Callithrix jacchus: one gene and its partners. The protein of the gene in region 2 interacts with the protein of the main gene of each other region in a pairwise test. Links are inferred from orthologs where the notes say so. Each region holds a gene or a part of one and is shown on either strand. Other genes may lie near its edges.

The links.
Region 1: the proteins of GET3 (region 2) and GPX7 interact in binary tests that used the Homo sapiens proteins (3 or more experiments, as listed by UniProt). The two-hybrid records come from large-scale screens. The link is inferred for Callithrix jacchus from reciprocal best matches to the Homo sapiens genes GET3 and GPX7.
Region 3: the proteins of GET3 (region 2) and GET4 interact in binary tests that used the Homo sapiens proteins (3 or more experiments, as listed by UniProt). The link is inferred for Callithrix jacchus from reciprocal best matches to the Homo sapiens genes GET3 and GET4.
Region 4: the proteins of GET3 (region 2) and ASPH interact in binary tests that used the Homo sapiens proteins (3 or more experiments, as listed by UniProt). The two-hybrid records come from large-scale screens. The link is inferred for Callithrix jacchus from reciprocal best matches to the Homo sapiens genes GET3 and ASPH.

What each region holds. Positions count from the first base shown.
Region 1 is NC_133508.1:89,379,698-89,387,324, reverse strand, and holds the start of GPX7 (glutathione peroxidase 7), read left to right. Parts: upstream 1-3,230; 5' UTR 3,231-3,269; coding exon 3,270-3,407; intron 3,408-7,627. UniProt on the Homo sapiens protein: It protects esophageal epithelia from hydrogen peroxide-induced oxidative stress. It suppresses acidic bile acid-induced reactive oxygen species (ROS) and protects against oxidative DNA damage and double-strand breaks.
Region 2 is NC_133523.1:11,556,095-11,564,062, forward strand, and holds the start of GET3 (ATPase GET3), read left to right. Parts: upstream 1-2,990; 5' UTR 2,991-2,999; coding exon 3,000-3,160; intron 3,161-4,015; coding exon 4,016-4,163; intron 4,164-7,968.
Region 3 is NC_133503.1:58,120,012-58,127,198, reverse strand, and holds the end of GET4 (Golgi to ER traffic protein 4 homolog), read left to right. Parts: intron 1-1,638; coding exon 1,639-1,777; intron 1,778-2,831; coding exon 2,832-2,972; intron 2,973-4,330; coding exon 4,331-4,406; intron 4,407-4,515; coding exon 4,516-4,588; intron 4,589-5,452; coding exon 5,453-5,541; 3' UTR 5,542-6,520; downstream 6,521-7,187. UniProt on the Homo sapiens protein: As part of a cytosolic protein quality control complex, the BAG6/BAT3 complex, maintains misfolded and hydrophobic patches-containing proteins in a soluble state and participates in their proper delivery to the endoplasmic reticulum or alternatively can promote their sorting to the proteasome where they undergo degradation.
Region 4 is NC_133517.1:17,557,199-17,564,385, reverse strand, and holds the end of ASPH (aspartyl/asparaginyl beta-hydroxylase), read left to right. Parts: intron 1-4,890; coding exon 4,891-5,041; 3' UTR 5,042-7,167; downstream 7,168-7,187.

The DNA of each region.
Region 1 (7,627 bases), on a different chromosome or scaffold from region 2:
TTTTGTTTGTTTAATTTCCTTTATTGGTTGAAGGTTAAATTGCTAAATCCCATATTCAGGTCTCAGCCTTAATCTTCCTAGATTTATCAACAGGATTTTACTAGTTAATCACTCTCTTCATCCTGGAACAAATTCATCAGTTGGCCTCCAAGACATCACATTGTTTTGGGTTTTTTGGTCCTTCTGGTTACTCTTTTTCAGTGTCCTTTTTCTGGCTCCCTTGTGTCTTCATCTCCTTGGTGCTCAATGATGGAGTTCCAAGGGCTGTCCTTGATTCTCCTTTCTCTCTATTACAACTCACCATTATCATCCAGTACCACGGCTTTAAATACCCAGGCTGGAGTGCAATGGCGCGATCCTGGTTCACTGCAACCTCTGCCTCCCAGGTTCAAGCAATTCTCCTGCCTCAGCCTCTTGAGTAGCTGGGATTACAGGCGTGTGCCATCATGACCAGCTAATTTTTCTATTTTTAGTAGAGACAGGGTTTCACCAAGTTGGCAAGGCTGGTCTCAAATGCCTGACCTCAGGTGATCTGCCCGCCTTGGCCTCTCAAAGTGCTGGGATTACAGGCGAGCCACCACGCCCGGCCTTATTTTTATTTATTTATTGAGACAGAGTCTTGCTCTGTTGTCAGGCTGGAGTGCAGTGGCATGATCTCGGCTCACTGCAACCTCCGCCTCCTGGATTCAAGTGATTCTCCTGCCTCTGCTTCCTGAGTAGCTGGGATTACAGGCACGTACCACCATGCCCAGCTAAGTTTTGTATATTTAGCAGAGATGGGTTTCACCATGTTGGCCAGGCTGGTCTTGAACTCCTGACCTTGTGATCCACCTGCCTCGGCCTCCCAAAGTGCTGGGATTACAGGCGTGAGCCACTGTGCCCAGCCATTTTTAAATTTTTTTAAGAGACAGTTCTTGTTATGTTACCCAGGCTGGTCTTGAACTCTTGGTCTCAAGCAATCCTCCTGCCTTGGCTTCCCAAGGGACTGGGATTTCAGGTGTGAGCCACCAGGCCCAGTTGAAAGAGATTTTTCTACAACATAAGACTCACTGTGATACTTCCCTGCTAAAAAGTACCTTTATGTCTTGGTTTAAAGACCACAATCTTCACTGTGGCCTGCTAGGCTCTGTGTGATCTCATTCCTCTCTGCCTCTCCACCTTCCCCTCTCATCCTTTGTCCTCTCTGTTCCAACCAAACGAGCCTTCTTTGTTACTCAGTGCACCATGTTCCTCTCCCCTTCAGAAACTTTGCACTTGTACTTTGCTTCGTCCTGGCCAATTTCTACTCATTCTTCAGAGCTCCCTTTTTCTGGAAAGCCCTTCTTGGCCCTCCAGGTTAGGTTGGGTGGTACTAACCACAATAGTAATTTTAGAGCTATTTATAAATTATTTAATTCCTGTGTCTCCCTGAATAGGGACTATGCCCGTCCTGTTCATCCCTGCATTAAGAGACACCTAAAATAAAACTTGGCATAGAACAGGTGGTCAAGAAGTGTTTGTTGAATGACCACAAGAGTGCTTAGCCCTTACCACATTACATGAAATCTGCAGTTTACCTAGTTTCTCTCATATCAGCCTGTGAGATTCTGGAAAACTAGTACAGGATCCAGCCCCATGCTTGACACTGCACGGGCTCAGCAGGGGTGTTCTGAGCAGGGGAGATATGTGCTGCCCAGATCCCCCATCACTGAGGACTTAGGACAGGCACTGGCTACCATGAGTGCTGTCAGCACAAAAAATGTTTCTCCATAGACAGGGCCATCTTGGCCCTTGTCTCACCCCTTGCAGGTAGCCCCACATCCAAAGACTGGTAAAGGCAGGGTATAAAGACCTGACCATTGGCCAGGCGGTGTCTCACGCCTGTAATCCCAGCACTTTGGGAGGCCAAGGAGGGTAGATCACAAGGTCAGGAGATCAAGACCATCCTGGCCAACATGGTAAAACCCTATCTCTACTAAAAATACAAAAATTAGCTGGGCTTGGTGGTGAGCACCTGTAATCCCAGCTACTCAGGAGGCTGAGGCAGGAGAATCGCTTGAACCCGGGGAGGCAGAGCTTGTAGCAAGCCGAGATTGTGCCACTGCACTCCAGCCTGGCCACAGAGCAAGACTCTGTCTCAAAAAGAACCACAGCTGGGCATGGTGGCTCACACCTGTACCCAGCACTTTGGGAGGCCAAGGCGGGCAAATCACGAGGTCAAGAGATCGAGACCATCCCGGCCAACATAGTGAAACCGTGTCTCCACTAAAATACGAAAACTAGCTGGACGTGGTGGCGCGCACCTGTAGTCCCAGCTACTCGGGAGGCTGAGGCAGGAGAATTGCTTGAACCCGGGAGGTGGATGTTGCAGTGAGCCGAGATCACACCGCTGCACTCCAGCCTGGCGCCTGGCAACAAAGCAAGACTCTGTCTTAAAAAAACAAACAAACAAACAAAAACAAACACCAAAAAACAAAAACAAATAAACAAAAAAGACTTGACCATCTTAGCTCAACTGATGGACCACTCTAGCCCCAGAGTCCCTGTAGCGTCAGCTAAGACTGTCTTGGGGCCTGCATGGAGCTCACTACTTTCCCCTTTTGCCACTCCTGTTCCCTCCCTTCCTTCCCATGTGCATTCCCATGCGTATTGCCCCCTCATCAACATCCTACACTCCAATCTCCATCTCAGAACCTGCTTCCTGAGGACCTAACCTTCAACAGGCCTTCAGTCCTCTCTTCCCCTTCTCTCAGCCATCATTTTCAGGGAACATTCATTCATTCACCTGAAGTTTGGAGGCACCATTCAACTGTTAAAGTGTTTCGTATCCGTTTTTCTATTACTTCTATCCTATACTGATTAGGTGGATCAGGAAGGGAGATTAGCCCCACTAAACGTGGAGAAATTGAGGCCGGACTGATGGCGTGACCAGACCAGCCTAAGGCCGCTGCACGAATGAAAAGCTGAGCTCTCAGACAGATTTTTGTCTCCCTGTCCCTGCCAAGTCTCTGCATCCTGGGACAAGAGGGAGGCTCACTGAAACGAACTCTGGTCTCAGGGGACAGAATCCTGAAACCCTGGCTCTGAGGTCCGGTACAGGAGGGCGCTGCCCCAGGACAGACGGGGAAACTGAGGCCCAGAGCCAATCATCCACCGCCTGCGGAGAACGAGAAGGAGGTGCGTCCTGCCTCGCGGGCCGAGCGGCGCCGTTGCTGCCTCCTCCCACCCCTCGCGCAGGGTCTGCCCGCCCCGTCTTAGCCCTCGCGACGTCGCCACCCCGGGAGCGAGCCATGGTGGTGGTGGCGACGGTGGCGGCGTGGCTGCTCCTGTGGGCCGCGGCCTGCGCGCAGCGGGAGCAAGACTTCTACGACTTCAAGGCGGTCAACATCCGGGGCAAACTGGTGTCGCTGGAGAAGTACCGCGGCTCGGTGAGTGCGCGGGGTCTGGCGGCGTCGCGCGGCCCAGCCTCACCCTGGTGGGGCCTGCGGGGCGTGGAGGGGGGGGGGTTACAGCCCGGACCCCTGAGCCGGGTGGCTCCGAGGCCGCCCCGGCCGCGCGGCCGCCAGACCCCGGCCCCCGCCCCACTCAGCTGTGACCCCCGGCACGGCGCTCCCATCCCGCGCCCGGCCCGCCCCGCGGCTACGTGGCACGGCCCTGGCGCGGAGGAACCCGAAACGCTCGCAGTCCTAGCCCACTTCGCTACGGGCACTTTTGGGCAGCGGAGTCCACACCTTCGCCGGGAGGCCGGGTACCACTGCCCAGCCTTTGCCACTCACGGGTGGAAAAAGTAACTGTAGCATCTTACGGCCTTGCTCTCTGCCGTCCCCACTTTCCGCATCTGGAACGGGGAGTGGCTGATTCGGAGTCCGGTGAGGAACACTGTGGAGATGGATGTGCAGGGCAGAAGGAGTCATTTCAAATGCACGGAGACCTCAGGCGGATCATCCTTGGGAGAGGGCACAAAGGCCAGGAGAGGGCACAAAGGCCCGGAGAGGGCAGGCATTCGCAGGAGGTCACACTACACCAGAAAGACGGAGCCTGGAAGAGAACTCCACCGCCACTGCCCTCCATCCGGAGTCCTCTCCAGGCCAAGTCCTTACTTAGATGGCAGCTGAGAGGGAGAGATTGAAGAGTCATCTAGGCTAATTGACCCCTCCTTACCAAGAGGGAATCTAAGTTCAGAGAGGATTTCGGAGAGGAAGGGTGTCTGGGTTGAGTCTTTGAACACAAGTGGATTTTACCCAGACTAATAAGCAAACAGCAAGAAGGGTGGGGAGTGGTGAGGCCAGGAGTTTCAGCTGTTGTGCTTGAAAGAGTCTAAAGCTGGAGGCTAAGAGTGGCGGAAGATGAGGCTGAAAAGGTTAGCAAGGGACCAGGCAGGACCTTGAACGCTACACTGAGAGGCCTGCATGTCACATTATGTGCAGTGAAGAACTCCCAGAGTGGGCCTCCTCAGGATGGACCTGGGGACTCGGGTGAGATGGCTGGGGAGTTGCACTCTAATGAACAGGTGGGCCAGCATCCAGTTTTGGATGAACCACACAAAAATGGATGTCAGCATTCTCCTGGGAGCAACACCATCTTTAGTGAAGGCAGTACTATATAAACCTTGAAATTTTCGATTATGCTGGGAGTGCTGGGGGCAGTAATCCCTGTCCTGACTGTCCCCCACAGTGTCATGAGTTTCAAATAAGCTAACAGTGTAGGTACACTTAGTAAACTGTAGAGTGCTTTGCATCTGTGTTTGGTGGATCCCAGCAGGAACCTCATTCAGAACTCAGGGAAAAGAACCAAGAACAGAGCCAGTTTCAATTCAGGCCTCCCATTCTCTCTAGGGAAACTCACCAGAGAGCCCCAGGTAGTCAAGCAGAGCACCTACTGTATACTAAGCAGATACTAGGCCAGGCCCTGGGGATACATTGGTGAATAAAACAGATACATTTCCACTTTAATGGAGCTTACATGGGGTCAGGAGAAGAGACAATAAATAAGAACTGAGAAATGCACAAGGTAATTCCCAGTGGTAATAAGGGTTAAGACAAAAATAGAACAAGGTCACACAGCTAGTAAGAGAATTAGAATATGAACCCAGACAGTCCAGCTCCAGCGTCTATGCCCTTAGTTGCCAAGTTCAGCGGTAAACCAGGGAACCGTAAATCCAGAGAAGCTGTAACTGGTGCTGAGTTAACCCAAGCTAGGCCTGCTGCTAGGGCAATATGCTCCTTCCTTCACTGGCAGACATTTCCTGGCTCCTACTATATGTCTGACACTGGGTCCAGATTTAGTGACATAGCCATGGGCAAGATTGACATGGTTGATGCCTTCAGGCTAATTGAGACCATAGTCATTTAGATCAGTATGGATGAATGAGTGACCATTTCGGAATGTGTGGGGTTATGCATGTACTGGTAGGCCTAAGTGTAGAGAGAGTGTGTGTGTGTGTGTGTGTGTGTGTGTGTTTGTGAATAGTTTGTTTCTTCTGTGTACAAATTTGAGTCTGTCTGTGCTTGTATATGTATATATGAAAATTAACTGTGTGTACTTGGGTGATTCTGTCTGTGTTTTGGATTCTAAGGACCAAGATTTTTGGTTTCAGGGATGGACCTAGAAGCCAGATTTTCCCCCGTCTAAAGATATGGGCAGATATGCAAGGTGTGAGTTAAAAATAAGCAAGCTTTGGCCAGGCATGGTGGCTCACACCTGTAATCCCAGCATTTTGGGAGGCCGAGGCAGGCAGATCACAAGGTCAGGAGTTTGAGATCAGCCTGGCCAACATGGTGAACACCCGTCTCTACTAAAAATATACAAAAATTAGCCAGGCATGGTGGCATGTGCACCTGTAATCCCAGCTACTCAGGAGGCCAAGGCAGGAGAGGCAGAGGTTGCAGTGAGCCAAGATCGCGCCACTGTACTCCAGCCTGGGTGACAGAGCAAGACTCCATCTCAAAAAATAAAAGCAAGCTTTAATTTTCTCATTGCCCAGGGATCCAGCAGGGGGGAAAAAGGAAGGAAAAAAAGAAGGAAGAGACTTATGAGTCCTAGTTTCTCACCATTCCAGGCAGAGTATGGTGTATGCTGACCTCAGACTGAGGAGGTTGTTCTAATTGCCAGTGGCCCCAGGCCCATGCCTGATCCTTTCTCACCTGGCGGAGGTAGGGTGCCAATGTACAGCTCAGTGGTTCAGTCATCTAGCCCAGTGGTTCTCAGCTAGGGGTGATTTTTCCCTTTAGGGCACAATTGGCAATGCCTGGAGACATTTTTGATTGTCAAGACTAGGCATCTGGGCCGGGCACGGTGGCTCAAGCCTGTAATCCCAGCACTTTGGGAGGCCAAGGCGGGTGGATCACGAGGCCGAGAGATTGAGACCAACCTGGTCAACATGGTGAAACCCCGTCTCTACTAAAAATACAAAAAATTAGCTGGGCATGGTGGCGCATGCCTGTAATCCCAGCTACTCAGGAGGCTGAGGCAGGAGAATTGCCTGAACCCAGGAGGCAGAGGTTGTGGTGAGCCGAGATAGTGCCATTGCACTCCAGCCTGGGTAACGAGCAAAACTCGGTCTCAAAAAAAAAAAAAAAAAAAGACTAGGCCTCTAGTGGGTAGAGGCTAGGGGTGCTGCCAAACATCTGACAATGAATAAATAGGACATCCCCCGAACAACAAAGAATTACCTGACCCAAATGTCAGTAGTGGTTTGGATGAGAAAGGAAGATAGGACTAGGCTGCCCGGCACAGGGGAAGGTTTAAAATCCTTTAATAATATATAGCAAGAAGCTGAAAACATAGCATCGGAGCCAAAATTCTAATTGCAGTATTATAATCAAGTTCCATTAGCCAGCTTTATATTTATTGCCTAAAGGCTTTAATAAATTTAGGAATTAGTCTAGTGATCAAAGAAAGTGGTAGGCTAGACATGGTGGTTCATAACTGTAATCCTAGTACTTTGGGAGGCTGAATTGATAGGATTGCCTGAGGGCAAGAGTTTGAGTCCAGCCTGGGCAACATGGAGAGACCTGTCTCTACCAAAAGTAAAAATTTAAAAATTAGCCAGGTGTGATGCACGTGCCTGTAGTCCTAGCTATTTGGGAGGATGAGGCGGGAGGATCACTTTAGCTCAGGAGCTTGAGACTGCAAACTGTTGGGGGGATGTCCTGTTATGATCATGCCATTGCTCCAGCTAGAGACCTTGTCTCAAAAAAACAAAAAAAGTGGTATTGATTCACTGGAGAGGAAGGGGACAAAAAGGGATTGCCCTGGGGTTTCAAGGGTTCTTTTCTCAAGAAAACCTGTCTATGTTCCCATGCAGGTGTTTGTGTTTATGTGCACACTTACTCATTCAGCTGACACTGAAAACTTTTCCATATGCCAGGCCCAGAGATGAAGTGGACATAGCTCCTTCCCTCCATAGGGTCACATTCTAGAAGGGAGACTGACACATATATAGGCAACCACAATGCTAAGTGGCGAGTGCTAGCTGACTGAGCCAAAAATTGAGCCCAGGTCTGCCTTTGTAACCCCTCTTATCAGCTCTCAGCATGTATTCACCAGTATATGTGCCTCTATCTGTGGATGTGCTGTGCGTGGGGGGGTGTATGTGTGGTGTTTGCTCATATATGTTTGTATTGTGGCGCATGTGCGTACCTATTTA
Region 2 (7,968 bases):
GGGCTACTTTTTGTACTCTTAGTAGAGACGGGGTTTCGCCATGTTGGCCAGGCTGGTCTCGAACGCCCGACCTCAGGTGATTCACCAGCCTCGGCCTCCCAAAGTGCTAGGATAGCCGTGAGCCACCACGCCCAGTGGCGGGAGGCCGAGGCAGGAGAATCGCTTGAATACTGGAGGTGAATGTTGCGGTGAGCCGAGATTGCACCATTGCATTCCAGCCTGGGCAACAAGAGCAAAACACCGTCTCAAAAAAAAAACAAAAGAAAAATAGAAAATTAGAGACGGGCGTCTGGCTATACTGCCCAAGCTAGGTCTCGAACTCCTGGCCTCAAGTGATCCTCCCGCCTTGCCCTCCCCTCCCTAAGTATTGGGATTACAGACATTAGCCATTCGGCCCAGTCTGGCGAGGTTTTGTTGTTTGTTTTTTGGAGACAGAGTCACACTCTCACCCAGGCTGGAGTGCAGAGGCGGGATGGTGGCTCACTGCAGCCTCGACCTCCCAGAGCTGAGGTGATCCTCCCACCTCACCCTCCCTAGTAGCTGAGAAAACAGGCATGCGCCACTATTCCTGGCCAATTTTTGTGTGTGGAGATGGGGTTTTGTCATGTTCCCCAGGCTGCTCTCGAACTCCTAGGCTCCAGCAATCCTCTCACCTCAGCCTCTCAAAATGCTAGGATTCCAGGCGTGAGCCACCGAGCCCTGCCTCGCGGGTTTTCAAAATTCAGCAGTACTCGAGCTGGTGTTCCCCAGACAGGGGCTCCCCTAGAATGAGACTGTTGTCTGAGACTGAGGCTGTAGCTTGCTCTCTGGAGTGTAGTTTTACTCGGGGCTAGGAGCAGATTCGCTTTGCAGGGTTAGAATCCCTGTCTGACACCAATAATAATCTCTGTGAGGGGAAGCACCTCATTTGGGGCTGTGTGCTCAGCTGACACCTAGGAACTTGAGTCCCCAACTAGGAATAGAGAGTATTTCTAGCCTGGGCCCCCCACGTAGAAATTGGGGTATCTCTGGGTTGGATACCCATCTCTGGGATAAAGCTTACATTTAATGAGGACATAGCTTGCTCTGTGGAGCTGAGGTCCCTGAGAATCAGCTTTTTTTTTTTGAAACGGAGTCTCACTCTTTCGCCCAGGCTGGAGTACCGTGGTGCCATCTCGGCTCACAGCAACCTCCGCCCCTCACCGGGTTCAAGCGATTCTACTGCCTAAGCCAACCGAGTAGCTGGGATTACAGGCTCGCACCACCAGGCCGGGCTAATTTATTTTTAGTACAGACGGTATTTCACCATGTTGGACAGGCTGGTCCAGAACTCTTGACCTCAGGTGATCCACCACCTCGGCCTCCCAAAGTGCTGGGATTACAGGCATGAGCCCCCGCGCCCGGCCGGATTCTACATACATGTTAACCAGTTTATTTTATGACCTGTAGTATTCAGATGAAGTCGGGGTTATCTCTAGGCCCTAGTCTCTGTCTAAAGTTAAGAGTATTGGCCGGGCGCGGTGGCTCATGCCTGTGAACCCAGCACTTTCGGAGGCCGAGGAGGGCAGATCACGAGGTGAGGAGATCCATCGTGGCCACGGTGAAACCCCGTCTCTACTAAAATACTAAAAATTAGCCGGGTGTGGTGACGCGCGCCCGTAGTCCCAGCTACTCAGGAGGCAGAGGCAGGGGAATCGCTTGAACCCGGGAGACGGAGGTTGCAGTGAGCCGACATCGCGCCACTGCACTCCAGTCTGGCGACAGAGCAAGACTCGGTCTCCAAAAAAAAAAAAAACAAAAAAAAAAAAAAAAAAAAAAAACACTCACTTTGGGAGGCCGATGCTGGTGGATCACGAGGTCAGGATATCGAGACCATCCTGGTCAACTTGGTGAAACCCCGTCTCTACTAAAAATACAAAAAATTAGCTGGGCATGGTGGCGCGTGCCAGCTTCTCAGGAGGCTGAGGCAGGAGAATTGCCTGAACCCAGGAGGCGGAGGTTGTGGTGAGCCGAGATCGCGCCATTGCACTCCAGCCTGGGTAACAAGAGCAAAACTCCGTCTAAAGAAAAAAAAAACCTTTAGAGATGCTTCTGTATTTACCCCTATTTGATAGATGAAGAACTTGAAGCGCAGAAAGGCTAAGTGACTTACCCAAGATCACACAGCGAAAAAAAAAAAAAGTATTATGGGGTGAGATCTTCATCAGGGGCCTGGAACCCAGCTTGTGTTCCTGCTCCAGGACAGAAGTTCGAACGTGAATTATGGTATACTGGAGTCTTCTCTTGAACAGGAGAAATGCAAGGAAGCTTTTAGGAATTAGGGTCCCTTCTGCGAAACTGAGCGCAATTGCAGGCATGGAGCCTGCTCAGCATGGGAGATGAGGGAGTAATGGTTAAGAATGCGGACTTGCACACTCTAAGCCACTATCAGCCCCAGGGATTCATCTCCAGCCGAGTCAACTCTTCTATGATTGGATTGTGGGAGGAACCAAGTGGCTAACAACCAATTGAATAACAGAAGGGGCGGAACCAAAGGGGAGGTTCGGATTCAACGTGAAGAATAGAGGGAAAATGATGGACATAAAATTGAACCTATGGAGTCAGGCCAAGGCGGACCTGGACTCTAACTTCTCCGAAAGGGCAAGGACTGGGTGTTTGGCTGGTTGCTAAGGAGAGGTTGGCGCTACCGGAACGTGAGAGTGATTGGTGAAAGTAAGAAAAGATCTAGCCAATGAAAAGAGCGCCGCAAGATTTATGGCCCAATCAGTGAAGAGGAGTACCCTGGACCGTACTGATGTGCTCATTTGGTAAGGGGAGTCCTTGGAGAAATACAGACCAGAGGTTAACAAAGTGAACCCTGGAAGCAAAGAATAGTGAAAACATAATTTATATTTCTCCTGAAAGGCAAGTCATGAGGAAATTAATTCATGCTTATAGCCTCGATGGGAATGTGCTAGAGGATTTCCCCTGTAGGTGCTTCGCATGGTGTGCTCCGCTTGATCACGTGAGCCAGTTCCAAAATGGCGGCAGGGGTGGCCGGGTGGGGGGTTGAGGCAGAGGAGTTCGAAGACGCGCCTGATGTGGAGCCGCTGGAGCCTACACTTAGCAACATCATCGAGCAGCGCAGCCTGAAGTGGATCTTCGTCGGGGGCAAGGGTGGAGTGGGCAAGACCACCTGCAGGTACGGAGCCTGCTGCGGGAGCCAGGAGCCGGGTAGGGTATGCCACTGGGCGTAGGGGAGGCCAAGTACCGGCTTTTCCACCACGAGCGGGGCAAGGCGGGTGGCGGGGGTCTTTGGTTTCACACTCTAGAAGTTACCTGGAGCAAATGGGAGATAACTCCTCAATGCAGGCCTAGCACCCTCTGAGTTGGACCATCACTGTTGGGGCTCAAGTGCTGAACCACAGTGAACTCAGTGCTCGAGGGACGGGGGAGCACTTAGATATCCCCATCATCTGGACCGTACCTGAGTGAAATCAAAGTTGTGGGTAGGGATTGGACCAAACAATCAATCCTAGTTCGGTGAACCTTGCTGTTTTACGCCCAAGGCGAGAGTGAGGGCGGAAAGGGAGGGAGAGGGCACATGATCAGAGTGTCCCAGGTAGCTGCAGGCAGGAAGTGTCCGTGGGGCAGATTATCCTGGACAAGTGGACTGAACCATCCTGTGCTTAGCAAGGAATGGAAGGGACCCCCCCCCCCTCCAGCTTATTAAGGAAGGTGGCACAGAGTCACGCTATGCTGGCTGGACAGCGGGGCCATACCACTGTGTGCCCAGCAAAGAAGAAGCGGGCACAAGGCCAGATGGACTCAGTCAGCTGAACCTTAACTCTCTAGTCCAGATTGAGGGTTCAGTAGATAAATCAGAGAGGGGTCCTTTTTAGGGATTGAGGCTTAATCCCACGGTAACCCATACTCTTCTCTCAAGGCCCCTGTTGATCCGGGTCACCTGCTTTAAGGAACCTGTCACTCCCCTTGCAGACCCAGGGAACAGAGCCCAACCCCTCATCCCCCATCTTTTGACTTTTCCGTTACCCAGCTGCAGCCTGGCAGTCCAGCTGTCCAAGGGACGTGAGAGTGTTCTGATCATCTCCACAGACCCAGCTCATAACATCTCAGATGCTTTTGACCAGAAGTTCTCAAAGGTGCCTACCAAGGTCAAAGGCTATGACAACCTCTTTGCTATGGTGAGTGGAGCAGGGCTTAGCTCCCACTTCTGGGAAAGACCCTTCCAGCCTTTCTTGTGCACACACATCAGCAGCCACCATGTCCTATCCATTCTGTATCCTGTATCTCTCCTGTTTCACCCCTTCCTCAACATACTCACAAGGGAACGAATGAGGAATTGCGGAGCAGGAAGGACACCAGAGTGCCTGAAGCTTAGAGAGCCAGGGTAGGGGAAGGAGAAGTTGGAAAGACCAATCAGAGCCACATGGTGTGGGACCTTACAGTGCACGGTAAGCAGTTGGGCGTTGACTCCAGGTTTAATGGGAAGTTGTTTGTTTTAAGCAGGGCAGTGTCATGGCCAAATTCATGTTTGAAAAGTACCCTCTGACAGCTAAGTGGAGATTCAGTTGTCAAGGAAAGTAATGAGGTTGGGGCTGTAACCAGTTGAGAGATGACAGCATCCTGGACTGTGGTGGGACAGAATGTTGGGGGAGAAGCAGTCAGATTTGGGAATTCATTTACTTATTTTTTTTAGACAGTCAAGACTCCTCTGTTGCCCAAGCTGGAGTGCAGTGGTGCAACCTCAGCTCATTGCAACCCCTGCCTCCCAGGTTCGAGCAATTCTTCTGCCTCAGCCTCCCCAGTAGCTGCCATTACAGGCATGTGCCACCATGCCCTGTTAATTTTGTATTTTTCATAGAGACAGGGTTTCACCGTGTTGGCCAGACTGGTCTCCAACTCCTGACCTCAAGTGATCTGACTGCCTTGGCTTCCCACAGTGCTGGGGTTGCAGGAATGAGCCGCATCGCACCAGGGACTTATTTAACAGAAGTAAATTAGTGAGATTACTTGGTCGGAATGGGTGAGAAAAATAAATGAACTAGTTACATGTTTTTATTTTCTGAGCAGCTAGGATGCGGAAAACTAGTAAAGGAGTAGGTTTAGAAGGGACAAGTCAAGAATGTCATTTAGTCCGCAGCGAATCTGAGGTGCCCACTGAAAATCCAAGTGGAAACATCATGACAGTAGCTTGTTTACGTGAGTCTGGAGCTCAGAGGAGATTGTTACTGATTTGGAAGTCACTGACCCAAAGGTAGCATTTAAAGCTGTGTGAAGGCTGGACCTGGTGGCTCACACCTGTAATCCCAGCACTTTGAGAGGCCAAGGTGGGCAGATCACTTGAGGTCAGGAGTTCAAGACCAGCCTGGCCAACGTGAAACCCTGTCTCTACTAAAAATACAACAAAATTAGGCAGGCCTGGTGATGCATGCCTGTAATCCCAGCTACTCGAAAGGCTGAGGCAGGAAAATCACTTGAACCTGGGAGGCAGAGGTTGCAGTGAGCCGAGATCGTGCTATTGCACTCCAGCCTAGGCAACAGAACGAGACTCTGTCTCAAAAATTAAAAAAAGACACAGAGTCTTTTGACATTAAAAAAAAGACACAGCCATGTTGCCCAGGGTGGTCTCGAATTCTTGGGCTGGAGAAGTAATCCTCCTGCCTCAGCCTCAAGTGTAAGGTACTGCATCCAGCCTCAGACAGCTTTTCTTTTCTTTTTTTTTTGAGATTGAGTCAGTGCACTGTAAGCAGTTGGGCATTGACTCCAGGTTTAATGGGAAGTTGTTTTAATCAGGGCAATGTCATAGCCTACCAAACTGCTGGGATTACAGGCGTGAGCCACCGCACCCAGCCTATTATTTATTAATTTTTTTTTTTGAGACAGACTCTTACTCTGTCGCCCAGGCTGGAGTACAGTGGCTGAGTCTCTATTCATTACAACCTCCACTTCCCGAGTTCAAGTGATTCTCCTGCTTCAGCCTCTCGAGTAGCTGTGATTACTACCACCATGCCTGACTCATTTTTGTATTTTTAGTAGAGATGGTGTTTTGCCACCTTGGTCAAACCGATCTCAAACTCCTGACCTCAAGTGATCCACCTGTTTGGCCTCCCAAAGTGCTGGGATTACAAATATAAGCCACTGTGCCTGGCCTGCAAAACCCTGTCATTACAAAACAATTTCAAAAAATTAGGTGAGTGTGGCCAGGTGCAGTGGCTCACGTCTGTAATCCCAGGCCACTGTGCCTGGCCATAAACACTTCTTAAGGTAGCAGGGGGAACCAGAATTATCCAGTTCATCAAGTGCCCATTGGAAATTTGTGTTCAGAAAAGGGGAGCAAGGGCCAGGCACAGTGGCTCACACCTGTAATCCCTTTGGGAGGCCAAGGCAGGTGGATCAAAAGGTCAGGAGATTAAGATCAGCCTGGCCAAGATGGTTAAACCCTGTCTCTACTAGAAATACAAAAATTAGGCTGGGTGTGGTGGATCACAAAGTCAGGAGTTTGAGAACTTGCCAACAGAGTGAAACCCTGTCTCTACTAAAATCACAAAAAATTAGCCAGGCATGGTGGCAGGCACCTGTAATCCCAACCACTCAGGAGGCTGAGGCAGGAGAATCACTTGAACCTGGGAGGTGGAGGTTAAGCCAAGATCGTGCCACTGCACTCCAGACAGGGCAACAGTGTCAGGCTTCGTCTCACAAAAGAAAAAAAAAAAACAGCCGGGCACGGTGGCGGGCGCCTGTAGTCCCAGCTACTTGGGAGGCTGAGGTAGGAAGATTGCTTGAGCCCAGGAGTTCTGGACTGTAGTGCGCTATGCTGACTGGGTGTCCACACTGTTTGGCATCAGTATGGTGACCTCTTGGGAGCGGGGGACCACCAGGTTGCCTAAGGAGGGGTGAACCAGCCCAGGTTGGAAATGGAGCAGGTCAAAACTCCTGTGCTGATCAGTAGTGGGATCGCGCCTGTGAACTGCACTCCAGCCTAGGCAACATAGCAAGACCCCATCTCTAAAAGAAGAAATACAAAAATTAGCCAGGCGTGGTGGGCACTTGTAATCCCAGTTACTCGGGAGGCTGAGACAGAGAATTGCTTGAACCCGGGAGGCAGAGGTTGTAGGGAGTCTACATTGTGCCACTGCACCCCAGCTGCACAACTGAGTGAGACTCCATCTCAAGAAAAAAAAACAAGGACGGAAAAAAAAAGTAAGATGGGAATAGTCTTTAAGAGAGTGTTCAGGCCCTCGAGTGCAGTGATGAAAGAGCTGGAAAGCCACACCTGTAATTTAGTGCTTGGGGAGACTGAGACAGGAGGATCACTTGAGGCCAGGAGTTCAAGGCCTCATTGCCAGCCTGGGCAACAAAGAGAGACCCTTTATGTACAAAATACAAACAAACAAAATTAGCTGGACGTGGTGGTATATGCCTGTAGTCCCAATTAGTTGGGAGGTTGAGGCAGGAGGATCACTTGAGCCTAGAAGTTTGAGGCTTCGATGAGCTATGAATGAGACACTATCTCTTTTTTTTTTGAGACAGAGTCTCACTCTGTCTCCCAGGCTGGAGTGCAGTAGTATGATCTCCGCTTACTGCAACCTCCACATCTCGGGTATAAGCGACTCTCCTGACTCAGCCTCCCAAGGAGCTGGGACTACAGGCGGGTGTCACCACACTCAGCTAATTTTTTTGTATATTTAGTAGAGACAGGGTTTCACTTGTTAGCCAGGATGGTCTCGATCTCCTGACCTTGTGATCCACTCACCTTGGCCTCCCAAAGTGCTGGGATTACAGGTGTGAGCCACCATGCTAGGCCTGAATTTTTTTTTTGTAGAGATGGGGTTTTACCATAGTGGCCAGGCTGGTCTTGAACTCCTGACCTTAAGTGATCTGCCCGCCTTGGCCTCCTAATGTGCTGGGATTACCAGTGTGAGCCACCTCGCCCCGCCAAGTTGCTATCTCTTAAAGAAAAACAAAACAAAACTGGAAGCAACCAGG
Region 3 (7,187 bases), on a different chromosome or scaffold from region 2:
GTCCCCGACACCATGACGGTGCTGTGGGGCATTGCCAGACCTCACCCTGGGAGCCCAGGCCTTGTCCACGCTGAGGTGGCTGCTTATGGCCTCTGCTGTCCTGAACACAGACTCCTTGCAGGACCTGTGGGCTCGACCTTCCTTGGTACTTTTCTCCTGGGGAAGAAATAACGCCCACAGGTAAAGGCTTGGGGATGCAGGGAGACAACAGGAGAGAAAGCAAAGTGACGGTGATGCTGGCAGCCACACAGGCAGCAGGAGGGGCCTGGAGGCTGCTGTCGGTAAAGGGCGCCATAGGTGGAAGGGGTGGGGCATGCTGGCAGCCACACAGGCAGCAGGAGGGGCCTGGAGGCTGCTGTCGGTAAAGGGCGCCATAGGTGGAAGGGGTGGGGCCTGGAGTGTGCTGCAGAGATGTGCACCGTGGGAAGGGCGGGGCTCCCGAGGCAGGAGAGGGGCCTAGAGTGTGCTGCAGAGATGTATACTGTGGGAAGGGCGGGGCTCCCTAGGCAGAGGAGGGGCCTGGAGTGTGCTGTGGAGTTGTGTACCACGGGAAGGGCGGGGCTCCCGAGGCAGGTGAGGGGCCTGGGAGTGAGTGTGAGCTGGTGTTAGGGTGGGCCTGGGAGTGGAGTGAGTGTGAGGAGGTGTTAGGATGGGCCTGGGAGTAGAGTGTGAGCAGGTGTTAGGGTGGGGCCTGGGAGTGGAGTGTGAGTAGGTATTAGGGTGGGCCTGGGAGTGGAGTAGAGTGTGAGCAGGTGTTAGGGTGGGCCTGGGAGTAGAGTGTGAGCAGGTGTTAGGGTGGGGCCTGGGAGTGGAGTGTGAGTAGGTATTAGGGTGGGCCTGGGAGTGGAGTAGAGTGTGAGCAGGTGTTAGGGTGGGCCTGGGAGTGGAGTGAGTAGGAGCAGGTGTTAGGGTTGGCCTCAGAGTGGAGTGAGTGTGACCAGGTGTTAGGGTGGGCCTGGGAGTGGAGTGAGTGTGAGCAGGTGTTAGGGTGGGCTAGGGAGTGGAGTGTGAGCACGTGTTAGAATGGGGCCTGGAAGTGGAGTGTGAGCAGGTGTTAGGGTGGACCTGGGAGTGGAGTGTGAGCAGGTGTTAGGATGGGGCCTGGGAGTGGAGTGAGTGTGAGCAGGTGTTAAGGTGGGGCCGGGGAGTGGAGTGAGTGTGTATGAGATGGTGTGGGTTGAGATGGTCATTGGATCAGTGTGGTGTGAAGATCAGGCTGCTTTTTGCTGTTCATGTAGATTCTAAGTGCACTGGCCTGGGCTCTGATTACGTTGCTCCCTGTACGTTTCCTCTGGTAGGTGAGAAGGGTTACACGGTGACACTCTGTCATTGCTCATCACTATGTGCACGTTAATGTGGTTGGATTTGACAGCTCTGGGAGCTTGGAGAAAGAAGGTGCTGTGTGGCTGCGTGGCTGCTTGGCTGCGTGGCTTTCGCTCTTCGCTGTTTTTGTTATTTGGTGGTGTGTGGGGTGTGGACTGGCTGAGTCCCTGTGGTGGCACCTCTGCCTACGGGGCTCTCCATGGGCTCTTCTCATGGGCAGGTGGGATAGAATTAACATGGATGCATCTTTCCCCATCTCCTGTGCTATATTATATTCATGAAGCATATTTGAGTTTTTCTGTCTTTTCTTTGCAGAACAAAACTATTGTGAGTCACGGTATCATTTTCTGCACTCAGCGGACGGGGAGGGCTGTGCCAACATGCTGGTGGAGTACTCCACATCCCGGGGCTTCCGCAGCGAGGTGGACATGTTTGTGGCCCAGGCCGTGCTACAGTAGGTGTCGGATGGCTCTACGGGTTCTGGCTTCCCTTGCTGCCTTGTCCCCGGCCCGAGCCGTGGTGCAGCGTAAACTGAGTTCACTCCGGGCAGAACCTGCAGTGCACGTGTCAGCCAGAGTGACTCATGAATTTTAATAAGTTTTATGAAGTTTAAGAAGTATTTTGGAATCTCCCCCTTTTCTGCGGTGCACCTCTCACCTGCTGCCGGGAGGCCCTGTAACCTCTGCTCTATTCCGGCCGGCCTCAGCCTGTGAACTGTGGGAATGCACTCCCAGTTCTTAGAATTGTCAGTGAGTCATCTACCCTGCAGCCCTCCCGCCAGCACACTGGGGCATCCTGCAGGCTGAGCTTGGGCACTCGCTTCCTTTCTCATGAAAGCCTTATGTGTGCCCAAGTCCATTTCTTCCACAAAACAAATGTGAATTTCTAGGCGGGCGTTGGGGTAGGACTGGCTTTGTGGATTTGATGTGGGATTTGGGGACAGTCATCCTCTGACCTCAGTGCTGCCCACTGCTGAGCTCTCCCAGGAGGGCGTCCGTGACTTAAATGAAAAGCTGGGTCAAACCCAGAGCTCACTGGCTCTGCACTGCGTAGATGTGTTCTCTGGATTGATGGTAGCCCGCCCCTGGGCCACTGAGCCCTCTCTGTAGGCCCTCCTCAAACTGGAGCCAGGGTCTGCGTAGCACCCGCCAGCTGCTGGGCTGTGGCCAAGTGTTCTGGTGTGGGCCATCATCTGATGGGTGCGGGCAACGGGGGAGAGAAGAGCTCACTCAGTGCATTATTCAGATGGGGCTCAAGCTGGGTTCTGGCTCCGGAGCCTTATGACCTTCTCAAGCTTCATTCTCTTCACCTATAAATTGCTGGCCTCCCCAGGATCCCCTGCTTGTGAGAGCGACACGCATGAAGCACTGGGTCCCTCCATGCTGGGGGCTGTGAGACCCGTGGGTGTGTGAGCTTGGGAAGGACCAGGGCATGTCAGAGGCTGGTGCCTGCGCGGGTGGAAAATGTGTCCTCCAGCCTTTCCTCCACCAGCATGTTCTCATTTCCAGGTTTCTGTGTTTAAAAAACAAAAGTAGTGCATCTGTGGTCTTCACGACGTACACCCAGAAGCACCCGTCCATCGAGGATGGGCCTCCGTTCGTGGAGCCGCTGCTCAACTTCATCTGGTTCCTGCTGCTGGCTGTGGATGGGTGCGTCTCAGTATTCTGGGGGTGTACGTTGTATGTCGATGTGGTGGCGTGGGTAGCTGGGGGGGTGTGTGCACGCAGGTGTTGGGTGTCAATGTGATGAGTGCAGATGTTGATGTGTGGGGGTGGGTGGGTATAGCTGTGGCATGGGTAGTTGTGTGGGGGGTGTGTGTTGTAGACTTGGTGGTGTAGGTAGCTGTGGGTGTGTGTAGGTGTGTTGGTTGTAACATGGTGTAGGTAGCTGTGTGGGTGTGTGTAGGTGTGCTGGTTGTAGACATGGCGTAGGTAGCTGTGTGGGTTGGTGTGAGTGTGCTGGTTGTAGACGTGGTGTAGGTAGCTGTGTGGGTGTGTGTAGGTGTGCTGGTTGTAGACATGGCATAGGTAGCTGAGTGGGTGTAGGTATGCTGGTTGTAGACATGGCGTAGGTAGCAGCGGTTGGGTGTATATGTGCTGGTTGTAGACATGGCATAGGTAGCTGAGTGGGTGTAGGTATGCTGGTTGTAGACATGGCGTAGGTAGATGTGTGTTGGTTGTAGACATGGCATAGGTAGCTGTGTGGGTGTAGGTATGCTGGTTGTAGACATGGCGTAGGTAGCTGTGTGGGTGTGTAGCTGTGTTGGTTGTAGACATGGCATAGGTAGCTGTGTGGGTGTAGGTGCGCTGGTTGTAGACATGGCATAGGTAGCTGAGTGGGTGTAGGTATGCTGGTTGTAGACATGGTGTAGGTAGCTGTGGGTGTGTAGCTGTGTTGGTTGTAGACATGGCATAGGTAGCTGTGGGTGTGTGTAGGTGTGTTGGTTGTAGACGCGTAGGTAGCTGTGGGTGTATAGGTGTGTTGGTTGTAGACGTGGAGTAGGTAGCTGTGGTTGTGTGTAGGTGTGCTGGTTGTAGACATGGCGTAGGTAGCTGTGTGGGTGTGTGTAGGTGTGCTGGTTGTAGACTTGGTGTAGGTAGCTGGGTGTGTGTAGGTGTGTTGGTTATAGACATGGCAGTGTAGGTAGCTGTGGGTATGTGCAGATGAGTGTTTTAGGTATAGACTTGGTGGCATGGGTTGCTGTGTGGGTGTTGGTTGTAGGCGTGGCATGGGTAACTGTGTGGGTGTGTCCAGATGAGTGTTGGGTGTAGGCATGGTAGCATGTGCAGGGGTGTGTGTGCAGGTGCGTGTTGCCATCTTCTATGGGTGTAGGCGCAGTGGTGTTACAGGTGTGTGTGTGGGTGTTGGGTGTAGACGCAGTGGTGGTGTAGGTGTGTATGTGTAGGTAAGTGTTGGGTGTAGATGTGGCAATGTGTGTAGGTGTGTGCGCAGGTGTGTGTGGCCCTCTCCTGCTCCCCCAGCATCTCCCTATGTCCCTGTGTCCCAGCGGAAAGCTGACGGTGTTCACCGTGTTATGTGAGCAGTACCAGCCATCCCTCCGGCGGGACCCGATGTACAACGAGGTGAGGGCTGGGACTGGAATGGGGAGGGGCCCTCAAGGCTGCACTGCCCTAGCTGGGACCCCACAGCCTGGGTCCGCCCTCTCCTGAACCTGCTGCCCATGCCTTGCAGTACCTCGACCGCATAGGACAGCTGTTCTTCGGTGTCCCGCCCAAGCAGACATCTTCCTACGGAGGCCTGCTCGGTAAGCTGAGGTGCCCTCGCCACTCCCACTGCAACCCTGGGTCAGTGTGGGGTCCTCTGCAGTCCTTCACGTAGCAGTGGTTCTTTGCTCTTTTCAATGTTTCTCAGTTTCCTTTTGTTAGTAGGAAATTATATTTCAGAGTTGAATCCTAGCTCAGTGCCTCCCAGCCCCGTCTCTGCTCCAGAGCTCCCCGCCCCTGAGGTTTCTCACACTTCCTGGTAGGGGTCGATTTGTGGGGCTGGCTGTGTGCTCAGAGAAACATCTGACTTGTCCGGTTTCCAGCAGTTTGGTTTCCGGAGACTTTTGAACTCTGGCTTTGTATGTACAGAGTGGTTGTTCATTGGATGAAAATCAGGTGACAGTGACCACAGTTGGCCCCTGTGAGCAGCCGTTGAAGGCTTGGCTCATCCAGTTTATTAGTAGGTCGCTGTAAGGGTGTGTGGCACATGTGCTCTACGGCAGCACTTCTCTGTTGAAAAGTATACATGAGGTCGTGTTAGTAGCTCTCTAGGGCCCTCCGTGGCTTCTGTTGGAGGATGTGGAGGGCATCTCTGTAGGCCCACATCGCCACTCCACAGCCCCATTGGTGGATGTGGAAGGTGGTTCTATGGACTCTCCCCCTTCCTGTGGCTGCTCCGTGGACATGGAGGGTGGTTCTGTGGATACCCCCATGGCTTCTCCATGTTTGAGTATTTCTTTGTGGTCATCGGTTCCCTGTCCTCGGGTTCACGGGCCACATACAGTAGTGTTGTGAGACTTTTTACATGTCGCTTGGGATGCCTGTTGAGGCATCTGTGGGAGGAGGGGTTCGGGGGCCGGCAGGAGGCTGCCTAGGCCTGACCGCCATGCTGTCCTTCCTTCCAGGGAACCTTCTGAGCAGCCTTATGGGCTCCTCAGAGCAGGAGGAGGGGGAGGAGAGCCCCAGCGACGGCAGCCCCATCGAGCTGGACTGAATTGGCCGGGCCACGTGGAGACACCATGGTCAACGGCGGCTCGAGGGACATTTCGGAGGCGAGTCCTGGGTGGCTCCTGGCCCCAGGGGCTCCTGGCCTTGAGGCTGGCAGTGGCCGCGTGCTGGCGCGTGTCTGTTTGTGGCACGTCTGGTTTGTGCGGCGGCTCAGGGTGGCGCGGCTGCCGGTTGCTATGCTGCTGGGACCCAAGAGTGGGGCTTTGCCCCTGCTGGCCGCCGCGTCCCCCGAGATTGACCCACAATAAAGCACAGGCCTTACGCGGCGTCCCCTCTCCCACTCCTTTGTTCTGGGTCCTTTCGGGGGGGCTGAGGGGCAGCACAGGAGGCCCGTCCTCAGGGACCTGGCACATCACTCTCCTTGCTTGGCGTCCAGAGCAGCTGTTGTCGCCAAAGCAAGTGCTGGCCCTCACACGTGAGAACCCAGCTGGGCCCTGCGTGGTCTGCAGATGCGTGCGGCTGTTTCTGAACACAGGTCACTCTGCAGTCACAGCGAACTGGTCCCCATCGCAGACGGAGCGCATGTGCCCTGCACCACATCCTCACACTCGGTGAAGGGACGGCCCACGTGGCATCCCGTAGCTGCATCCTGCTGGTCTCTGTGAGAGCCATGCTGCTGTGCTGGAAATTCCGCTTTAAAAAGGGATACCATGGGACTCTGCCCATCTCTTTCATAATGCAATATTTATTTGTATTGGGTGATTGATTCCTTTGACCTAACGTTTTAGGTTTTAACCAAATAACCAGTCCAGGAGTGAGCAGCTCTGTTCTTGATGCTTTTCCAGATGTTGCCAGAACAATGACAAAAGGGGAGACGCTCTATTTTTTCATGATTCAATGACAGTTGTAGATTGATATGTAGTTGTGCATGGAAACGGGAAACTCACAGCTTTATTTACTGTAAAGCGGAATTTGAGGAAGGCTTGTGTGAACCGTTGCGCATAAATAAACCCTTTCTACCGGGCTGTGCGACGCCATTCCTTTCTCGGGCACCCACCGTGGGTGTGGGGGCCTCTGCACTCGGCTGTGCCTGGGAGCCCCCAGAGAAGGCATGCCCTGTGGCCAGACTGCCCGTGTGTGGACAAGAGCGGAGGTCCATCAGGAAGCCTCATGTTCACTCGGCTGTGATTTTAGAAGTATAGTTGTGTAATTTCATTGAAATTCATAAAGTTCATAAAAATCAAATCCACCAAGTCTGGGTGTCAGAGCCTGCAAGAGCAGACCTGTGGGTTGCCGGGGAGGCGGCAGCATGGAGCCCCTACCCTGCCCCAGGTACTAGCGGGGCACCCATCCCTCCTCTGTGGCACTGGCTTTGAGCAGTGAGTTTGATTCAGTGACTGAGGATTGTGTGCGTGATGTCACTCAGGCTTGCTGCAAGATGGCAGGAACAGCTGCTGGGACCCTGCAGGTGGCCCCGTGGCCTGCGCTTAGCCGGCGCCGCAGCATCCACCCCTATCTGCCCCAGGACGTCGCAGTGGAGTCACTGTGCATCCCTGCACCTGCTGTGAATGCTGTCAGCCAGGGGATGCCCTTCCTACAGCTGTGTCCTGATGGGGAGGTGGATGTGGACAGCAAGCGGCCCCTGCCTGGACCCACCTCCTGCGACTGCACGTCTCCCACCTGGTTTGAAAA
Region 4 (7,187 bases), on a different chromosome or scaffold from region 2:
ACTGCAGACATCTGAACCTGTTTCCATGTGATTCCTTTGTGTGAAAATCACAATCATGTCCTTTGCCAATCTCAGAACATTTTAGCAAAGATAGCTAAGATATTTTCTATAACATTTGTAAGTGGAAGATTCTATAAGCACCTAGCATCATTACTTAGCCTTACTAATATCACTGGTAATTCTGTGGCCAAATTATAGTTATTAATGTGCACGGTCACCATTTTATCATTATCATTAATTATGATTATAATTTGAGAGGTTGACAGATTATATAATACTGTTTTATCATGTGACCAGATATTTGTTACATCTTTTGACAACCCAGAGAGAGGGTTTCTTCTCAGGGGTAAGAGATTCTAACAGTAGGCCAGGAACAGTGGCTCATGCCTATAATCCCACACCTTGAAAGGCCAAGGCAGGAGAATTGTTTGAGCCCAGGAGTTGGAGAGCAGCCCAGGCAACATGGCAAAACCCCATCTCTACAAAAAATCCAAAAATAAACTGGACATCTTGGTGCATGCCTGTAGTCCTAGGTACTTGGGAGGCTGAGGTGGGAGGATCACCTGAGCCTGGAAAACAGAGGCTGCAATGAGCTGTGATGTTCCCACCACACTCAAGCCTGGTGACGGAGCAGATCCTGTGTTGAAAAAAAGGAAGGGTTGGTGGCGTGGAGAGAAAGAGAGAGAGGAAGGGAAGCAGGAAGTTCCAGCTGTGAGCCAAGGTTGCTGCCTAGGGATAGAAAGCATTGCCCATCCCCAATCTCTACATCTCTGAGTCCTTGGACAAAGGCCGTAGCAGTACTTCCAGGAAGACCTCTGTCACAGGCCACTCTGAAGATCGTTTCTCCAAAGGACTGATTCAGTGTCATAATTCCAGTGTTACCTAATCTTATTTTATGGAGATTTGCTCACAAAGCAAGTAGCCTGAAAACTAGTTCTTTGCATTCTAATGAGAGTCATTGGTTTTCATTCAGAAGCAATTTAAAGACCTTTCACATCTTTATGCTCCTCTCTCTTTGTTGTGGGAAAAAACACTCATTCTTTCCCAAGCAAGTGAACATCTCTGGTTTAACCTGGAGTCACTTAAGTCTGGACATGGCTTGGATGAGGCTTTATTGTTCTTCCATTTTCCCCTTTTAGGTGAATTGTGACTGCACTTTAGTCATACTATCTCTAATAACTGATTGAAAGGCACCAATTTTTTAAGAATTCAGAAGAAATCTACATTAAAGAATTTATATTATGTAATTGATTATCTTTGCTATTTGCTGGGGAAATGTATGAAAGAAAGTGGAAGGGCAAATATAAGTCTAACAGTACCCACTTTCCCCTTGGTTTTGTGACCCTAAAACAGGCCAGTTAACACTCTTTGGGTTACCTCTCCAAATTTCTCGTTTATAAAATTGGTTAATTAATGGTTTACATTAATCTGTATTTGACTTGATGTATCTGGAAAGCCACAAGCCTGTGGCTCTTAAGTTCTACTCCTATATGCATGAGTGACCAGTGTGCTCTGGTGCTAATAACTTTTCCCAGTTCACAGGGAATTTAAGTTAGTGAATGGAATGCTTAAGGCCTTTCTCTCATAAAACATTTCTAGATCTTTGGCTTTGCTATACCTATGATAATCTAGTAAAAAATGTCTTTTGGATGTGCTAGAATTTTCTCTTCCATTATTTTAATTGCTTCTAGTATTTTAAGTAGTTTCCAGGTTCTCTGCCACCCAAAAAACTTTGAAAATCACTTGTCATTGCTGTACAAAGTGTATTTCACAGATTCTCTGAAGATGTTTTTATATCTCATCTCCCTTGGAAGTTTTTAGTTGTCTCAGAGGAAGGCAGATTTCATACAGAGTGATGCCAGGGTCATTTTTGGGAACATACTACTTCTCAACATTTCACCTCTGTCTTTTATCTTTTCCCTATTTGTCTTTATTTTTTCATTCCTTCTCTGTTTTATATTCTCTGTCATTAATTGAATATCTACTAGGTGCCAACCATATGCTAATCCTCCCATCAGCTATGCAGATGAAGATACAAAGACTCAATTACACTAAGTGACTCACCTCAGGTCCCATAAGTAATAAATGCCAGGGTCAAGAGGCTTCCCCTCAAAGACCATAAATTCCCATCTTGCTGTATTGCTTCTCTCTTTCTCTTCTATCACATGCTCTCCTTTTCCTTTCTCTTTTTTCTCTAATTAATTATAGTAAAATACACATAATAAAATTTACCACATTATCCATTTTTAGGTGTGCAGTTTAGTGACATTACATATATCCATGTTGTATAACCACCACTACAGTCTATCCTCAGAACTTTTTTTAACTTGCAAAACTGAAACCATACTCATTAAATGATAATTCCCATTCCCTTCCTCACACCAGCCGCTGGCAACTACTCTTCTCTGAGTTCCATGAATTTGACTACTACTCTAGGACCTCAGATGTGTAGAATCAAATAGAAATTGTCTTTTTGAGTCTGGCTCATTTTACTTGGCATAATGTCCTCAGAGTTCATACATGTTGTAGCATGCATAAAAATTTCCTTCCTTTTTAAGGCTGAATTAATATTCCATTGTATGTGTACACATTTTTTTGTTCATTCATCGATAGACACATGGGTGGCTCACACCTTCTGGCTGTTGTGAATAACACTGCTGCTGTGAACATGGGTGCACTGCCTTTCTTTTTGAGTACAGTTCCTCCCTCATCTTCTGCATAAATTTTAGGCTTGTCTGTGGTACTCACTGACATTGCTAATCCCAGTGACAACACTAAGACCTGGAAAATGTCCACCTAACTATAGAAGCTGTGGACTGTTTCACTGATTCTTCTTGTCAATGTATTTACCACCCTTAGTTCTACCTTTCTTCTCAATTTGGGTTTTGCATGGTAATGAATGCATGCCTGTCATTTGCTCCTGAGTCCACAGATTTCTGCCTTTTGCCACCCTTGGATGGAACTCCAATGGAACTCTCTAATCCTCTAGGGGAGTTGTAAAAGAGCCAATCAACATGTGTGTGTGGAATGCAAGACATGAGGCAAGGGGTATTAGTCTGTTTTCATGCTGCTGATAAAGACATCCCTGAGACTGGGAAGAAAAAGAGGTTTAATTACACTTACAGTTCCACATGGCTGGGGAGGACTCAGAATCATGGCAGGAGGCTAAAAGCACTTCTTACATGGTGGCAGCAAGGGAATAAGGAGGATGCAAAAGTGAAAATTCCTGATCAAACCATCAGAACTCATGATGCTTATTCACTATGATGAGAACAGAATGGGGGAAGCCATCCTGCCCCGCCATGATTCAAATGAACTCCCATAGATAGGGTCCCTCCCACAACATGTGGGAATTATGGGAGTACAATTCAAGATGAGATTTCGGTGGGGACCCATCCAAACCATATCATGAAGCATGTGAGACAGCACAGTGGGTGGAGGCAGGAGGGTGGGTAGTAGAAGTAGAGGTTTAGTTCCCAACTTCAGTGAACTTTAAACTTGCAAACACTCATTATTTTATCTGTTAGTTTAGGTAGCTTGGAAATTTTATTGTCAGATTTATTCAGTGTGTCAGTTATTTTCCACTGAAATGATTTTGCCCCTGCCCTTACCCTGGCCATTTGTCAATGAGTAGAGATGTTTTGTTTGTCACAACTATGGCAAAAACTGCAATTACTTTTGCACCAGCCTAATAGTATAAAAGGGATGCTACTGCCTCACAGTGGTTGGAGGTCAGAGATGCTGCTAAATATCTTCTAGTGCATGGAACAGCCCCTACAACAAAGAGTGACCCGGCCTAGATGTCAGTAGTACCAAGTTGTGGAGCCCTGCAGTATATCTAGTATTGCTCAGTTTATATTGGTTAGTCACCTAATATGGAACATAAAAAGTCACCCTTAATTTTCTCAAGGAAAACATCTTTATGATAATACAGTAACTTGAAATCAAGCTAGCATTTCCCATGCTATAATTGTCATTATTTGCTAATCCAGGATATAAAATTTTCAGTGCTTAAGTGGAGTGTTAGTATCTAAAGAAAATTTTCTAGCAAAAAAAATTATTTTAAAAACATAACTTGGTATTTAATATATTGGCAATTAATATCTATTTTTTTAAAAAACCATCGGTGTAGCTCACAAACTCTCTTTGGATTTGAAAAGCCTTGTGTGACTGCCTCCTGTATGTTTCTCTCTTAATAGACTAACACTATATTTAGATTTTAGTCCTTATACAGATATCTTATGAGGTAATGTTGGAAGCTCTATAGGGTATTTTGCCACATTGATTTAAAATATTCCATGGATAACCCACTTGCATAGAAGATGATACTAAAAATATAAACAAAATTCATTCCCAATCTGCCCATTTTCTTCAGCCGGAATACTAGCTAGGAAACTCCTAATTTAGTTTTCTCCTTTATGGATATTGTGTTTAAGTAGATTTCTTTCTTCTATAAAATGAAATTTGAACAAGTGGAGTGAGCTGCAAACACAGTTGATTGGAGATGTGCAGACCCCCTGTCAGGTGTCCTGAGAGGCATAGCCCGAGGCCAGTCACTGCCCAGGTGTCTAAACCAGAATAATTGCAAGACATGTAATAATATACAAAGTAACTGAAGGGCATGTAATAAAACCAGTATGTCTTCATCACCAATCCCCTGTCGTTTGTACGTCTCCAGTGCTGAGCAATGAAAACTGATGTTCATAATGAGATTTCTGAAATTCTTTCCTAATCATCAAGGGAAGAATAAATTTGGGCTTGATGTTCTAGTTATTTGGTTATGTCTCAAAGGTTGTTACCAAAGGTACTTCTTGCACATGTATAGGAGTTGATCCTCAGGCACCTAACCACACAAAGCTTTATTCAGGAATCCTTGTCTTTCTGTTGCAGGACCTGGGAAGAAGGCAAGGTACTCATCTTTGATGACTCTTTTGAGCACGAGGTATGGCAGGACGCCTCATCTTTCCGGCTGATATTCATTGTGGATGTGTGGCATCCGGAACTGACACCACAGCAGAGACGCAGCCTTCCCGCAATTTAGCAGGAATTCATGCAAGTTTGGGATGCTCTGGAGAGAGGCTGCCTTTCTGGTTCCATCTCCTTGGGTGTAAGGATAGAATTTTGAACACTAAGACTCTTAATTCCCTCGATTTGCAGCCTGAATAATTCTAAGCCTCCTCCTAGGGTTAGAAGACACTAAAGGGAATATTTGCCTCACTGCAATTCATTTAGAAAACACCCTGCTGGGTGTCATCCATTGACAGCTCTGGTCTTCTGCCAGTATTTAAGGTGAGCATTTGATAGCTTCTACCTTACCAGCCAAAGAGATTTTTCCCACATAGAATAGGTCTAAATCAGTGTATAATGAGAATATATGTAGAAACTGTGAATGGATTGCTTTAGTTTATAATTTTTCTATACAGTTATATTTTTATAGTGTAGCTAGACCATTTTGTCATCATGTACCACTACATTTTTGTTAATTTTAATGACAAGCTGTATAAATGCTTTACTTCTAGGTGTTTAATGATAGCATTACTGGGGAACTCTGACTTCCCTCTTTTAATTCTTCTTAGTAAAAGACACTCATGAAAAAAGCAGTTTTATTTTCCTAATACAAAAAAGAAAGAAGTCATGGTGCCAGTGTCTAAGAACTATACCCATCCTAACTCTCAAGTTGTTTGGTTTTTTAAATCTTGATTCAGATCCTCCTCTCACTACGCCGGTGATGGAAATATTATCAAAATCGTATTTCTTTCAAAGAGGAACTTTTCACACTGAAAAAAGACCATGGGATTATTTTATATTGTTATAAAAATCCCACATGCAAATTTTTTAAATGCCAAGTATTAGAGGTTCTGGGGAAAAGTACAGTTTATGAAAATAAAAATATGTTGTTTCAGGGTCAGGTGCACAGGTGACTGATAGGAAGTCTGGCTCTTGGCTGCTTTGTCATCCATGAAGCATGTCCTGGGACACAGTTTCTTTGCCTACGGTAGATCCATGTGAATGACAGGAAGCCAGCTGTTCGGTCTTGAAGATGATTTCCACCACAATCCTGTAGCAGTATTAAGGATGGCAGAGTAAAAGGTCACCAAGAATGCCGGGATCTTTGTCCTGGGTGTAGAAGATCCAGATTGCTTTCCTTTTTGATGAAAAAGCCTTAAAGACTGTCCCATTTCCCTGACTTGAGAAACTTCTGCCGTTTTAAACATCACCGTGAAATAACTATTATTATCATCTATATTTAGTTTCAACGTTACTCACAACATAGAAATAACAGTTGAAAATGGTCTTGCCTAGTCATTCCAAAGATGATCAAGTCATTAATTTAGTAAAGTATTAATGCATCAGATTTTGTATTTTTTAAATCAAAGCTAACTAGAAATGTTAGATATAAGAATGTAATGATATTCATGCACTGAATTCTAAGCCCATATGAACAAGAATGCTGCAGGAATGGCACAGAAATCAATAGATTTCATTCATAGGTAGAAAAGCACTTGTACTTCCTTTTCTATCTAAAAACAAAAGTAGACTATCTAATTTAAAGAACAGTTCTTTGAAATTGAAATTGACCCTTTTTGCTTAACCTTAAGAACATTAGCTTCCAGTAGATGAATTTGCAAAATACTTTTCCTGTTCTTCTGTTTTGCTGGTGTTGATAAACCTCACTGAATCAGATGAAGAGGCATAGGAGGGAAAATATCCAAATTAATTACTAAAATTGAGAAGAGAAGGCAAACTCTTGAAAAGTAAATGGTATTTGTGTCCTTCAGTATTTATTGAACAGAGGAAATAATTGGCAAGGGCAATACAATTCAGTGCTCATGTAGCAACATTCGTCTCACTTATTAAATTTGGTTCTCATATGTATATTGTGTACACATAAAGAAATTCAAACTATAAGTCATCATTGTTGAGCCATCGTCTTACATTCATGTAATGAAATTATGGAAGAAAGTAAAAACTAGCTCTTAACTTAGTAAATATAATATGGTATTTAAAATCAGGTCACTACAGTAGGCTTCTAAATATTGCCAATTGAAAACTAAAAATGGCATTATCGTTGCAAAGTATTGTCAGTAATTGACTCCGATAGCATTGTAAATACTTGGATCCCACAACTATTTTAAACCCAAGCAATAAAGTGGATTTTCTAATTCACGTAAATTCTTTATTTCTCT